Stegostoma tigrinum: one gene and its partner. The protein of the gene in region 1 interacts with the protein of each later gene in a pairwise test. Links are inferred from orthologs where the notes say so. Each region holds a gene or a part of one and is shown on either strand. Other genes may lie near its edges.

The links. The genes of interacting proteins can lie anywhere in the genome.
Region 2: the proteins of diamine acetyltransferase 1-like (region 1) and casp7 interact in binary tests that used the Homo sapiens proteins (3 or more experiments, as listed by UniProt). The two-hybrid records come from large-scale screens. The link is inferred for Stegostoma tigrinum from reciprocal best matches to the Homo sapiens genes SAT1 and CASP7.

Annotation. Positions count from the first base shown.
Region 1 is NC_081365.1:77,559,763-77,567,266, reverse strand, and holds the start of diamine acetyltransferase 1-like, read left to right. Parts: upstream 1-4,492; 5' UTR 4,493-4,888; coding exon 4,889-4,954; intron 4,955-7,504. UniProt on the Homo sapiens protein: Enzyme which catalyzes the acetylation of polyamines. Substrate specificity: norspermidine = spermidine >> spermine > N(1)-acetylspermine. This highly regulated enzyme allows a fine attenuation of the intracellular concentration of polyamines.
Region 2 is NC_081373.1:23,858,490-23,866,088, reverse strand, and holds the start of casp7 (caspase-7), read left to right. Parts: upstream 1-4,500; 5' UTR 4,501-4,625; coding exon 4,626-4,686; intron 4,687-7,599. UniProt on the Homo sapiens protein: Thiol protease involved in different programmed cell death processes, such as apoptosis, pyroptosis or granzyme-mediated programmed cell death, by proteolytically cleaving target proteins.

The sequences.
Region 1 (7,504 bases):
TTGCCTCCTTCTCTCCAATGAGAACAGACACAAGTCCCTCAGCCTTTCTTCATAGGGCCTGTGCTCCAGACCAGGCAACATGTTGGTATATCTCCTCTGCACCTTTTCCAATGCTTCCACATCCTCCCTGTAATGGGGCGACCAGAACTGTAAGCAATATTCCAAGTGAGGCCGCACTAGCATTTTGTACAGTTGGAGCATGACATCACGGCTCCAGAACTCAATCCCTCTGCCAATAAAACCTAACACACCGTATGCCTTCTTAACAGCACTATCAACCTGGGTGTCAACTTTCAGGGATCTATGTACATGGACACCAAGATCCCTCTGCACATCCAAACTACCAAGAATCTTTCTGTTGACCTAGTATTCTGCCTTCCTATTAATCCTCCCAAAGTGAATCACCTCACATTTATCCGTATTAAACTCCATTTGCCACCTTTCGGCCCAATTCTGCAGTTTATCCAAGTGTCCCAGCAACCAGCAACATTCTTTCACATTGTCCACCACTCCACCGACTTTAGTGTCATACGCAAACTTACTAACCCATCCACCTATGCCTGCGTCCAAGTCATTTATAACGATGACAAACAGCAGTGATCCCAAAACAGATCCTTGAGGCACACCACTAGTGACCGGACTCCAGGCTGAATATTTTCCATCAACCACCACTCGTTGCCTGCCTACAGAAAGCCAGTTTCTAATCCAAACTGCTAAATCTCCCTCAATCATGTGCCTCTGTATTTTCTCCAATAGCCTACCATGTGGAACCTTATCAAAGGCTTTACTGAAGTCCATGTACACCACGTCAACTGCCCTACCTTCATCCACATGCTTGGTTACCTTTTCAAGAAATTCAGTGAGGTTTGTGAGACATGACCTGCCCTTGACGAATCCATGCTGACTATCTCCAAACAAATTGTTGCTTGCTAGATGATTATGAACCCTATCTCTTATAATCCTTTCCAAAGCTTTCCCTACAACCAACGTAAGGGTCACAGGTCTATAATTACCTGGTTCATCTCTACTGCTCTTCTTGATCAAGGGCACAACATTTGCAATCCTCCAGTCCTCTGGTACTAAACCTGTAGACAATGAGGACTCAAAGATCAAGGCCAAAGGCTCCGCTACCTCCTCCCTAGCTTCCCAGAGAATGCTTGGAAAAATCCCATCTGGCCCAGTGGATTTATCTGCCTTCACACCTTCTAGAATTGATAACACCTCCTCCTTACTAACCTCAATCCTTTCAATTCTAGTAGCCCGTAACTCAGTCATCTCCTCTACAATATTCTCCTGAGTGAAAACAGATGAGAAATATTCCTTTAGCACCTCTCCGATCTCCACAGGGTCCACACACAACTTCCCACTTTTGACTTTGACTGGCCCTATTTCTACCCTAGTCATTTTCTTATTCCTCACATATGTTTAGAAAGCTTTAGGGTTTTCCTTTATTCTACCTACTATTGTCTGCTCATGTCCCCTTCTTGTTCTTAACTCTCTCTTTAAATCGTTCCTAGCTAATCTGTAACTCTTCAATGCCCCATCTGAACCATCTCGTCTCATCGTCACATAAGCCTCCTTCTTCTGCTTAATAAGAGATAGAATTTCTTTAGTAAACCATGGTTCCCTTATCGCTTCGTCCCTGCCTGACAGGGGCATACCTATCAAGGACACGCAATATCTGTTCTTAAACCAGCTCCACATTTTGACTGTCCCCACTTGTCGGCCCTTCGACACACTGTCAGGAAACTGTCCTGCACACGTTGGACAAAAACTGATCCATCCGATGTACTAGAGTTATAGCATTTCCAGTCAATGTTGGGGAAGTTAAAGTCTCCCATAATGACCACCCTGTTCCTTTCAGTCCTGCCCAGAATCGTTTTGCCAATCCTCTCCTCCACATCCCCGGAACTTTGCGGAGGCCTATAAAAAACTCCCAGCAGCGTGACCTCTCCTCTCCTGTTTCCGCCCTCAGCCCATACCACCTCAGTAGACGAGTCCTCGTCAAAAGTTTTTTCAGCCCCCGTTATAATGTCCTTGACTAACAAAGCCACACCTCCCCCTCTTTTACCACCTTCCCTGATCTTAATGAAAGATCTAAACCCTGGAACCTGCAACATCCATAAATAAATAAATAAATAAACAAACAAACAAACGTAAATTGTATCCACAAAGTCACCTTCTTCAAACAGTTGGGGAGAATGCTGGACACATCGATACCTTAGATCTTTGTTCAGGGCTGCTTTGCTTTTGACTGGATTTCAATCAAGACCAGTTCTGTGTGTTCAGCAGAGCTCAACACAGTAACAACTATTGAAAAAACCAAAAGAACCACGGGTGCTGGAAATCTGAAACAAAAACAGAAATTGTTTGAAAATCTCAGCAGTCTGGCAGCACCTATGGAGAGAAATCAGAGGTCACGTTTTGGATCCAGTGACCCTTCTTCCAAACATCCAAATTCATTTTCTTTTAAATTTTACATTATATTGTATATTATTTATACCCTATGTATTTCGAGAAGGTCACTTCTTGTTTTTGAATGCCAGTTGGCATACGCCCAACCTGCTCAATCGACATTTCATTCATTAGTTAAACTCTGCAGCCCAGGAATGATTCAAGTTAATTTTCTCTGTGAATGAAAATCTCCTTTTTCAAGTCATGAGACCATAACTTTAGGCATCTTGTGTGGCAGTGGTAGTGTCCTTATCTTTGATCTAGGAGGCCTAGGTTCAAGTCCCACCTGCTCCAGAGCTGTGTAGTAATATCTCTGAACAGGTTGATTCGAAAATAAACAGATCAAAACTTTATTCAGCATTCCAGGGGTGGTATAATCATGGGCCCTGTATGGGTGGTGTAAAGCTACCCCATTTTTATATTCCATTCACACAACCATACAATGTTTCTTCCAATTTAACATCCTTACGCAGCCAAGGATAACACATCCTTCTCAAAAAACTTTTCTTTTTCAATGCCATAAATATCTGTTGAGAGTTAATAATTATCTCCTTAGAAGTCTATTACACAATTTCTACCTTTTAATCCAATGTTGAGTTCATTTTAGCCAACTGCCTTCATTTTCTCATAATCACCTTTATTTAAGTTTAAAACGTTAGACTTTGACTCCTACTTCTCACATTTAAGCCTAATGGAAAATTCAATCATGTATGATTGCTATCACCTAGAGGCCCCTTTACTGTGAGGTTATTAATTATTTCTGAGGAAGGGTTACTGGACCTGAAACGTTAACTGATTTCTGTCCACAGATGTTGCCAGACCTGCTAAGCTTTACCAGCAATTTATGTTTTTATTTCTGATTTACAGCATCCGCAGTTTGCTTGGGTTTTATTAATTATTTGTCTCATTGAACATTATCAGATGTTGAATAGTCCAATCCACACCTGTTTGGACTAGCACATTCTGCTCGAAGAAATTGCCCGGATACATGCTATGAACCCATTTGCAGGCTATCTTTCCCAATTTGATTCACCCAAATTGCATAAGATTTAAGGCATGCAGGAAAAATCTGACAGGGAGAACATTTCTCACCAATAGCCAAGCTACATCTTGATCTTGTTTGTAAATGTAATATCAAGGAACCATCCAACAGGACCTGCCATCATCTTCTTTTCCTGGAGGACATCTAGCGCATTAGATGCAGATGACTGCCTGTTGGACTGGTCAAAGATCTTTACGTGCATGAACTTTACCATGAGGGGCAGATGGTACAACACAGTCCCAAGTAGATGCAACATTCTATGACAATGTGGATAGCGCCATCCTCCGTAACACTGGGGAAAGGTAGGACCTAAGCACATTGCTTGTGTACTGAAGGTATATGCACAGCTTGATGCAGCCACACAGAGAGCTAGTCATCAGATAGACAGTTGTTTGGTCGGTTCTTTCTTCCTTTGTTTAGAGATTTCTACATCATGTTCCAGTTTTTAACCTGCAGATAAAGCAGAAGATGGCTCATGTGATCACCACTGTAATGGAGTGAGGAATTTGCCAGACCTGCAGAATATACAACAACACTGGAAGAACCTGAGAAAGCTCTGATGCATAATCGAGAGGGAGTGTTGCTTCCACATGCTCATTTTTCTGTGTCACCCACTCAGGCTGTCTGAGCTGTATCCCCAGCACCTTCAGATAATCTGACTTGATGACCAAGAGAACATGTCAGTCCAGTTCTCAAGACAGCACTGCCTTGCTCTGGCCATAACCTATTTTGGCGAGCAAGGCCATTTGACATGGTCACAGATGCATATCAATCTACACACCGAAACTGGATCTGAGCAGAAGATGGTAATGTTATCCATATTGGAAGACTTTGACCGGCGACACCTGTCTTCGCTGAGTGGGACTATGTTTCCATTCTTCCCGAGGGCTCAGAAAAGGGTTCGATCCACCACAGTAGAGAGAGAGAGCAGCCCTGGCTGTAGATTGGAGCAGAAATCTTTCTGAAGCCATCCACCTCCGGTACCGCAGCACTCCTGTGAAATGGGACATTGAATCCATAATGTTGTGCCTCAGAAAGGTCGAATGCTGCATGAGCCGCTTACATCCTAGACAGGTATCTTTTCTTTTGCGGACTGGCCGATTGCAGCTTCGCCTTTGAAGTTTGCCTTGAAAGTCAGTTCTGGGTCAGGAGGCGGACACTTGTTGGGAGGAGCCCAGCCTGCGGCAGGCTGTTTATAAACAGCGGTAGCGGGGACGCAAAGCGGAGTTCACATCGGGAACGCAGTGTCTAAAGGGGAATCAAGCTGACACTGATACCCGGCACCACGAAAGGTCCCAGGCTGATTCGCGGGACGCGGATGAAGAAAAACCTGGTCTTACTGTACAAGTACTGGGGTCTCCAGAGAAAGAGCAAGAAAAATAAGAGGCGAAAATGACCAGTTACACTGTCCGACTAGCTACACCCCGGGACTGCGGCGACATCCTCCGCCTCATCAGGGTGAGCTCCTGTGTTGATCGGAACGATTGCAATCCACGGGGCGGCCTCTCGGCCCGTCCGGTCTGTGTTCGATCTCTAAGCAGCAGTCGTCGTCCCCCCCCCCCCCCGTCCATGCTTTCCCCTGTGACCCCGCGGTCCTTTTCTGCAGCTCGGAAGGGTCTGAAGCTCTTTTGAAAACATGGAATGAATCCGCCTCCAGCTCCCCCGGGAGTTTGGAGGTGGGATGAGGTCACTTGCCTCCAGCTTCCCCTTCCACGGGGTGGATCCTAAGGGCACACTGAGTATAAGCCCTCCCTCATGTGGTCTCGGTTCACTTTAACAAAATGTGAGGCTGGATGAACACAGCAGGCCCAGCAGCATCTCAGGAGCATAAAAGCTGACGTTTCGGGCCTGGACCCTTCATCAGAGAGGGATGGGGAGGGGGTTCTGGAATAAATAGGGAGAGACGGGGAGGTGGACCGAAGATGGAGAGAAAAGAAGATAGGTGGAGAGAGTATAGGTGGGGAGGTAGGGAGGGGATAGGTCAGTCCAGGGAAGACGGACAGGTCAAGGAGGTGGGATGAGGTTAGTAGGTAGGAGATGGAGGTGCGGCTTGGGGTGGGAGAAGGGGATGGGTGAGAGGAAGAACAGGTTAGGGAGGCAGAGACAGGTTGGACTGGTTTTGGGATGCAGTGGGTGGAGGGGAAGAGCTGGGCTGGTTGTGTGGTGCAGTGGGGGGAGGGGACGAACTGGGCTGGTTTTGGGATGCAGTGGGGAGGGGGAGATTTTGAAGCTGGTGAAGTCCACATTGATACCATTGGGCTGCAGGGTTCCCAAGCGGAATATGAATTGCTCTTCCTGCAACCTTCGGGTGGCATCATTGTGGCACTGCAGGAGGCCCATGTCATCTGAGGAATGGGAGGGGGAGTGGAAATGGTTTGCGACTGGGAGTTGCAGTTGTTTGTTGCGAACTGAGCGGAGGTGTTCTGCAAAGCGGTCCCCATTAGATGGCATGTCCATCATGGGTCTCCTGCAGTGCCACAATGATGCCACCCAAAGGTTGCAGGAACAGCAACTCATATTCCGCTTGGGAACCCTGCAGCCCAATGGTATCAATGTGGACTTCACCAGCTTCAAAATCTCCCCTTCCCCCACCGCATCCCAAAACCAGCCCAGTTCATCCCCTCCCCCCACTGCACCACACAACCAGTCCAACCCGTCTCTGACTCCCTAACCTGTTCTTCCTCTCACCCATCCCTTTCTCCCACCCCAAGCCGCACCTCCATCTCCTACCTACTAACCTCATCCCACCTCCTTGACCTGTCTGTCTTCCCTGGACTGACCTATCCCCTCCCTACCTCCCCACCTATACTCTCTCCACCTATCTTCTTTTCTCTCCATCTTCGGTCCGCCTCCCCCTCTCTCCCTATTTATTCCAGAACCCTCACCCCATCCCCCTCTCTGATGAAGGGTCTAGGCCCGAAACGTCAGCTTTTGTGCTCCTGGGATGCTGCTGGGCCTGCTGTGTTCATCCAACCTCACATTTTATAATTCTCCAGCATCTGCAGTTCCCATTATCATCGGTTCGCTTTAACCAGGTAGACCCATCGAGTCTCCTCTGCCATCCAATGAGAACATGGCTGATCATCATCAACTCCACTTGCCTGCCTTTTCCCCATAACCCTTGATACCCTTGCTGATTGTAAATATCTGTCTCAGCCTTGAATATACTTAATGATCCAGTCTCCTCTGGCAAAGAATTTCACAGATTCACTATGCTTCAGAGGGGAAAATAAAAGTCTTCTGTGTCAGTTTTCATTAGATAATACCTTTTTGAGATCATGCCGTCTGGTCCTAGACTCTCCCATGGGCTGGCTGAGTGGTGCAACAATGTCTCTTCAACTACTTTTATCAAGTCATCTCAGAATCTAGTTTGTCAATAAAGTGCCCACTCATTGTTCTAAACTCATGAGTATGGGCCCAACCTGCTTAACCTCTTCTCATAAGAAAATAATTGGAATCCACCCAGTGTACAGTCTCTGAAGTGTTTCCATTGCTAGTATATCTTTTCTTGGATAATGGGCCAAACTATTCACTATACTGCAGGAGTGTCTAACTATGTGGTGTCTTTAGCATGGCTTCCCTGTTTTCATATTCCATTCCCTTTGAAGTAAAGGCTGGCAGTCCATTTCCCTTTCCTATTACCTACAGGTGTAAACTTTTTGTGATCCATGTTTGATGGTTGCCCAGTTCTTCTGTGCTGCAGCTATCTGCAGTCTTTCCCCATTTAGGTAATATTCAGCTATCTTGTTCTTTCTGTGAAAGTGCAAACCCTCACATTTTCCTCCATTATATTGTACCTATTCAGCCTGCTTTGTCCTTCTGTAGATTCTGTGTCTTCATCACTACTTGCCTTCAAATTCTGACACAAGAATTTTGTGTCATCTGCAAACTTGGTGATGGAGCATTCACTTCAGTCATCAAGTCATTGATATATATTGGAAATAAATGTAGCCCTAGCACTGATCACTGTGATGCTCCATTTCTTACAGGTTCCCATTCTGACAATTC
Region 2 (7,599 bases), on another chromosome or scaffold:
ACAGAGTGATGATGCTGTGAGCTCACCACAAGATGTAGGTGAAGAAGTAGGCCTTTCAGCCCCTCCAGTCTGCTCAACTGTTCAATGAGATCATTGTTGATCTGGTGATCCTCAACTCCAAATTTTTATGCCTTTTTTATTCCCCCTATAATGCTAGTTTCCCTGACTAATTAAAATCTATGCATCTGGCCTTCAGCTATTGAGGTCTTGAGGCAAAACTTTGCTGTCTCCAAACCTGATTCTTTTTGACCAGTCCATTGTTTTCCACCTTCAACGAACTCCAGCCAATTGAGAGAGCAGCATGTTCTTTCCTATCCTGAACATAAGGCTTCTATTCTTTCGATGTACATCAGTTCTCAGTTTGCACTTAAATGATAAAATGATCATTCTTGTATGAAGTCCTTTACTACCTCACCCTCCCTGATAACCTTTAATGGACAGTTTCTTTTGTATGTGCTCCACCATTGATAGCTGGTTCTTCAGTCACCCAGTGCCCAGTGGACTTCTTAAATTTTGAACCCACCTCCTAATATTCCAATGAATCAGAGTCAACTTATGACTAATTGGAGCATTTAGAAACTATATTGCCTGTTTCTGAAGAAGTCACATTGGGACTTAAAACCTTAACTCTGTTTCTCTCTCCACAGATGCCACCAGACCTTCTGAGGTAACAAAGTGTGGAGCTGGATGAACATAGCAGGCCTAGCAGCATCTTAGGAGAACAAAAGCGGGCCTAGGCCTGCAACGTCAGCTTTTGTGCTCCTAAGATGCTGCTGGGCCTGCTGTGTTCATCCAGCTCCAGACTTTATCTCAGATTCTCCAGCATCTGCAGTTCCCATTATCTGACCAGACCTTCTGAAGTTTATTTAATTCACACATTATGCACATGACACCCTCTGTGATTGCCTGCTGTAAATATACTGTTCTCCCCTTTTATATGATGTGATTAAAGGAGCAGTCCTTTTGAAAGCTTTGTGATTTCAAATAAACCTGCTGGACTACAATGTGGTGTTGTTTGATTTCTGACCATCTACTTTATAAAGTAGAGATAACAAAGTGTGGAACTGGATGAACACAGCAGGCCAAGCAGCATCTTAGGAGCACAAAAGCTGACGTTTTGGGCCTAGACACTTCATGAGAAAAGATGGTGGGGAGAGGGTTCTGAAATAAATAGGGAGAGAGGGGAGGCGGATTGAAAATGGATAGAGGAGAAGATAGGTGGAGAGGAGACAGACAAGGGGTGTGTATGGAGCCTGTAGAGGTGAGTGTAGTTAGGGAGGGGATAGGTCAGTCTGGGGAGGACAGACAGGTCAAAGGGGCGGGATGAGGTTAGTAGGTAGGAAATGGAGGTGCGGCTTGAGGTGGTAGGGGATAGGTGAGAGGAAGAACAGGTTAGGGAGGTGGGGACGAGCTTGGCTGGTTTTGGGATACAGTGGAAGGAGTGAAAATTTTGAAGCTTGTGAAATCCACATTGATACCATTGGGCCGCAGGGTTCCCAAGCGGAATATGAGTTGCTGTTCCTGCAACCTTCAGGTGGCAAAGGTGTGGCACTGCAGGAGGCCCATAATGGACATGTCGTCTAAGGAAAGCGATGGGGAGTTGAAATGGTTCACGACTGGGAGGTGCAGTTGTTTATTGCGAACCCAGCGGAGGTGTTCTGCAAAGCGGTCCCCAAGCCTCCGCTTGGTTTCCCCAATGTAGAGGAAGCCACAATGGATACAGTGGATGCAGTATACCATATTGGCAGTTGTGCAAGTGAACATCTGCTTGATGTGGAAAGTCTTCTTGGGGTCAGGGAGGAGGTGTGGGGGCAAGTGTAGCACTTCCTGCAGTTGCAGGGGAAAGTGCTGGGTGTGGTGGGATTGGAGGGAAGTGTGGAGCGGACAAGGGCGTCACAGAGAGAGTGATCCCTCCGGAAAGCAGACAAGGGTGGGGATGGAAAAAAGTCTGGTGGTGGGGTCGGATTGTAGATGGCGGACGTGTCAGAGGATGGTGTGTTGGATCCGGAGATTGATGGGGTGGTATGTGAGGATGAGGGGGATTCTATTTTGGTGGTTATTGCGGGGGTGGGGTGTGAGGGATGAGTTGTGGGAAATGTGAGAGACATGGTTGAGGGCGTTCTCGACCATTGCAGGGGGGAATTTGCAGTCCTTGAAGAACAAGGACATCTGAGATGTACGGGAGTGGAATGCCTCATCCTTGGAGTAGATGCAGTGCAGGCAAAGGAATTGGGAATAGGGGATGGGATTTTTGCAGGAAGGTGGGTGGGAGGAGGCGTATTCTAGGTAGCTGTGGGAGTCGGTGGGCTTGAAATGAACATCGGTTTCTAGGTGGTTGCCTGAGATGGAGACAGATAGGTCCAGGAACGGGAGGGATGTGGTCCAGGTGAACTTGAGGTTGGGATGGAAGGTGTTGGTGAAGTAGATGAATTGTTCGAGCTCCTCTTGGGAACACAAGGCAGCGCTGATACAGTCATCGATGTAATGGAGGAAGAGGCAGGGTTTAGGGCCAGTGTAGGTACGGAAGAGGGATTGTTCCACGTAACCTACAAAGAGGCAGGCATAGCTTGAGCCCATGCGGGTACCCATGGCCACCCCCTTCACCTGTAGGAAGTGGGAGGAATCAAAAGAGACGCTGTTGAGGGTAAGGACGAGTTCAACTCGGTTGATGAGGGTGTCGGTGGAGGGGGACTAGTTGGGCCTGCGGGACAAGGAAGTAGCAGAGGGCCTTTAGGCCATCTGCAAGGAAATGCAGTTGTATAGAGACTGGACATCCATGGTGAAAATGAGGTGTTGGGGACCAGGGAATTGGAAGTTCTGGAGGAAGTGGGGGGGGGGGGGGGGCGGGTGGGTGGTGTCACGGACGTAGGTAGGGAGTTCCTGGACCAAGGGGAAGAAAATGGAGTCCAGATATGTGGAAATGAGTTCGGTGGTGCAGGAGCAGGCAGAGACAATGGGTCAACCAGGGCAGGTGGGTTTGTGGATTTTGGGAAGGAGATAAAAGCAGGTGGTGCGGGGTTGGGGAACAATGAGGTTGGAGGCTATGAGTGGGAGGTCTCCTGAGGTGATGAGGTTGTGGATGGTTTGGTGCTCAGGGGTGGGGTCATGATCCAGGGAGCAGTAGGAGGGGGTGTTGGAGAGTTGGATCTGGCCTCAGCAATGTGGAGGTCAGTGCACCATACTACAACTGTGCCTCCCTTGTCCGCGGGTTTTGTGGTGAGGCTGGGATTGGAATGGAGGGCTGCCCGTCCTGCGGGGGAGAGGTTGGAGTGGGTGAGAGGGGTGGAGAGGTTGAGGCGATTGATGTCTCAATGGCAGTTGGAGATGAAGAGGTCAAGGGAGGGTCGGAGGCCTGGGGGTGGCATCCACAGTGTTAGAGGCGGATGAAGGGGTCAGTGGAGGGAGGGTTAGGCTCCCGGTTAGAGAAGTAAGCGCAGAGGCGAAGGCAGCGGAAAAACTGCTCGATGTCCAAACATGACTGGTGTTTCTCTTTTACTGAAGCAGAGCTGGTTTTTCATTGCAAAAATACACTTTATTCATAAAAAATGATCAATATTCATAAGTACTAAAGCAGTTCTACACGGCTTTTGAGCATCAAGGAAAAATAAACATTGAAATTTGACATTCGTTGAAGTTGCAAAAACTAAACATAGAACATAGAACATCACAGCATAGTACAGGCACTTCGGCCCTCGATGTTGTGCCGACCTGTCATACCGGTTTGAAAGGGATTTCTTACTCAAGCAAAACACTATTTGCATACATTGAGGCAATGAGGGTTCTGATAACTGAACAGACCCTCGTCATATTTTGGAAGAAAGACTTTAGAGGGCGGGCTGTCCCTACTGAGCTTTGGCTGCCAGAAACTTCAAGAGCGCCCCTCGGCACCTAGTCCTGGACCTTCGAGGGGGTCAGTTTGCAGCGGAAGGTTTGAGTGAAAATCGTCTGCTTGCCAAACCTTCGCTCTGAGCGGTCTGCAACAAAACAAAATGCCCCATTTTCCCCACAGGTCGAAAATCTAACTCCCTGTTGGCGGGGAAAGGGGAATTGAATTTTTTGAAAGTAGGTTGTTGGTGATTAGTTGGAAATTCCCTGTCAGCCGTGTAAGTGTTCCGGGACAATGAGGCATTCCCGCACTGGAAACACCCTCTCAGCTCACAGGAACTTGGTCCAGTCCGGGAACTCCGAGTGGGGAAGGGGAAAGGGACTCCATCAAATCCTGCGATCGGAGCCTTTTTATTTTGGCCGTACAATTTTCAGATCTGTGGCTACTTCAGTCAGCAGCCAATGGGCGATGCTGGTCACTTGGAGCCTTCAGTTTCAGCTCCACTCATTTCCTGAACTCTGAGTCTCGATACATTTTGTAGCATTTGTCACCAAACAACCAACTGTAGAGGAGTTTGCTTCCTGTTCTTCGAGCTTGTGCCGACTCTAATCGTTTAGGCCGAAGGTACGAGTAAAACTTTGCACCTTTCCCCCCGCCACGTGTTTAATTCAACCTTGGATCCGTGCAGTATAAACAAAACGTTTCTTTTTTTTACAAAAAAAATCAGAATTATGCCACTGCGTCTCACGGATTCTAACTCAGCCCTCAGACCATCATTCTCCGTTTGACGTGGTGATCTATGGGAAAAAGAAACTTTCAAAATGTTGATCTATGTAAAGGACGGAAACATTTTTTCGCAAGTAAATATAACAGTGCGGAGCGGTCATGTGTTTTCTCCAGTAGGAGTTGGAAAAACTCGGTGAAATCTGCATAGATTTGTAGTGCTTTCGGTTTCTAATCTTGTCTTTACAAGAATGTTTTCTGTATAGCCTTTATTTAAACAACCGATGGTGGAAGAAGGACTAATTGGAGCTGATCAATTGAGAGATAGGATTTAACTGAGTGGAGATTAGGGACTTATTCCATTGGCATTTGATCCATTTTTGTCAATCATAAGATTCACTCAGCTCCTAAAAGCTGATTACACAACCTAACTGCAGTCCATTGTACCAAATATTAATAAATATGAAAGTAACTTCCTTTTTTTAACCCTAAGCTGGCACTGAAGGATTCCTGTTACCCAATATGTTCTTTTTTTAAAAGTAATTGTAACATGTAACTGAGTTCTAACTCAAATGGAATAAAAGCAAAATACTGCAGGTGCTGGAAAACTGAACCAAATTGAAAATGCTGAAGAAACTCAGCAGGTCTGGCCACATCTGTTGGCAGAGAAGCAGACTTCTTCAGAACTGCAGTTGAAATGGTAACTGTTTCTCTCCCAACAGATGCAGCCAGTCCTGCTTATAGTGTTATACAGGTTTGCAGCATGGAAACAGGCCCTTGTCCATCCCACCCAGTTTTCCACAATTAAACTAATTCCATTTGTCTATGTTCGGTTATATCCCTCCATACTCATCCCATCCATGGACCTATCCAAATGTTTCTTAAATGACAAAATTGTATTCTCCTCCACCACTACCTCTGACAACTCATTCCAGACACTCGTCACCCTCTATCTGCCAGATTGCCCCTCTGGACCCTTTTATATCTCTCCCCTCTCAACTTAAACCTAAGCCCTCTAGTTTTAGACTCCCCTGCCATGGGGAAAAGCTGTCGGCTGCCTACTTTATCTATGCCTCGCATGATTTTATAGACCTCTAGACAGTCAACCTTCAGTGTCCTACACACCAGGGAAAAAAGTACCCGACTATTCAATCTATCCTTATAATTCAAACCTCCCAGGCCAGGTAGCATCCTAGTAAATTTGTTTTCTGCACTCTTTCTATTCTAATAATATCCTTTCTGTAGTTGGACGACCAGAACTGCTTGCAGCACTCCAAATGTAGCGTTACCAGTGTCCTGTACAGCTGCAACATCTTTTTCCAGCTCCTATACTGAATGCTGTGTTCAATGAAAGCAAGCATGCCGAAAGCTGCCTTCATCACCCTGCCTACCTTTGACTCCACTTACAAGAAGCTATGAATTTTTCCCCCTCAGTCTCTTTGTTCTATAACACTCCCCAAGGCCCTACCTTTGACTGTGTAAGTCCTGCCCTCATTTGACCCTCCAAAACGCAACATCTCGCATTTATCTAAATTAAACTGCATCTGCCATTTCTCAGCCCACTGGCCCAGTTGATCAAGATCTCCCTGTATTCCCACATAACCCTCTTCACTGTCCACTATACCACCAATCGTGGTGTCATCTGCAAACTTACTAACCATATCTCCTAAACTGTCATCCGAATCATCTATGTAAATGATGAATAACGGTGGACCCAGCACTGATCCTGTTGCACACCACTGGTCGCAGGTCTCCAATTTGAAAAGCAAGATTCTATCACTATCATCTGTCTTCTACCTTCAAGCCAATTTTGTATCCAATTGGCTAGCACTCCCTGGACCCATGAGATTGAACCTTAACAACATACCATGCAGTAGCTTGTCAAAGGCCTTGCTAAAGTCCATGTAAACAATGTCCCCTACACTGGCCTCATCTATTTTCTTGGTCACCCCCTCAAAAAACTCAATCAAATTTATGAGACACAATTTCCTATCCACAGCACCATGCTGACTATCCCAAATGAGTACTTGACTTACCAAATGCCTGTAAAACCTGCCTGTCAGAAGCCCCTCTCACAACTTACCTACCACAGACATTAGGCTTAGCAGTGTAGTTCCCAGCTATTTTCCTGCAGCCTTTCTTAAATAATGGCACAACATTACCAACCCTCCAGTCTTTGGGCTCTTTACCCATGACTGTCAAAGATACAAATATGTCTGCTAGGGATCCCACAATTTTCTCCCTACCGTCCAACAAAGTCCTGGGATAGGCTTCCCATACTTTTGTACTGAAGTGCACGTTACAACAAAACCTAATCTAATTCATCAGGTCCCGGGGATTTATCTATCTTACTGCGTTTTAAGACTACCAGCACCTCCTCTTCTGTAATGTGGAGTTTCTCCTGCTGAGTTTCTCCAGTGTTCTGTGTTTGTCGTAGCACATCAGTATTGTAGAATGTAGAAATATTAAAGTGGTCAGGTGTTGAAGACTATATCAGAATTAGTTTTCAGCAGTCATGAAGTATTCACATTATTTCTACACTGTTTTAAAGTCTCATAATTTTAAATGGTACATGTGAAAAGTAAGTTATTCAGTTCCATAAGTGCTGCCTATAATTATAATGGTATTAGAAAAAATACAGTTATTTTTGTAGAAATTAATTTCCTGAATTTCTGAGAAAGTTTTCGCAGGCAACTATTTATCAAATCTGACAAGAACTACAAAAGCAAATAACTAGCACACCTCTTTTGTAGTCGGTGTCAAATGTTTTTACTGGGAATGTGTAAAAGAAACACTAAGTAAGATTTCAGTCCGATATATTTTTAGAGCAAGAGAATAGAGTTTGGTCTCAAACTCCAAAAAGGTAACCTGCCCCTGGAGGTGGAAGATAGGGTACAATTCATATATAACACTTTGCATCTGTTTTCACAAAATACAAGCACAGAATCCCTACAATGTGGATGTTGGCCATTCGGTCCATCAAGTCCACACTAGCCCTCTGAAGAGCATCCCACCCAGACCCACTCCCTTACTCTATCCTGATAACTTTG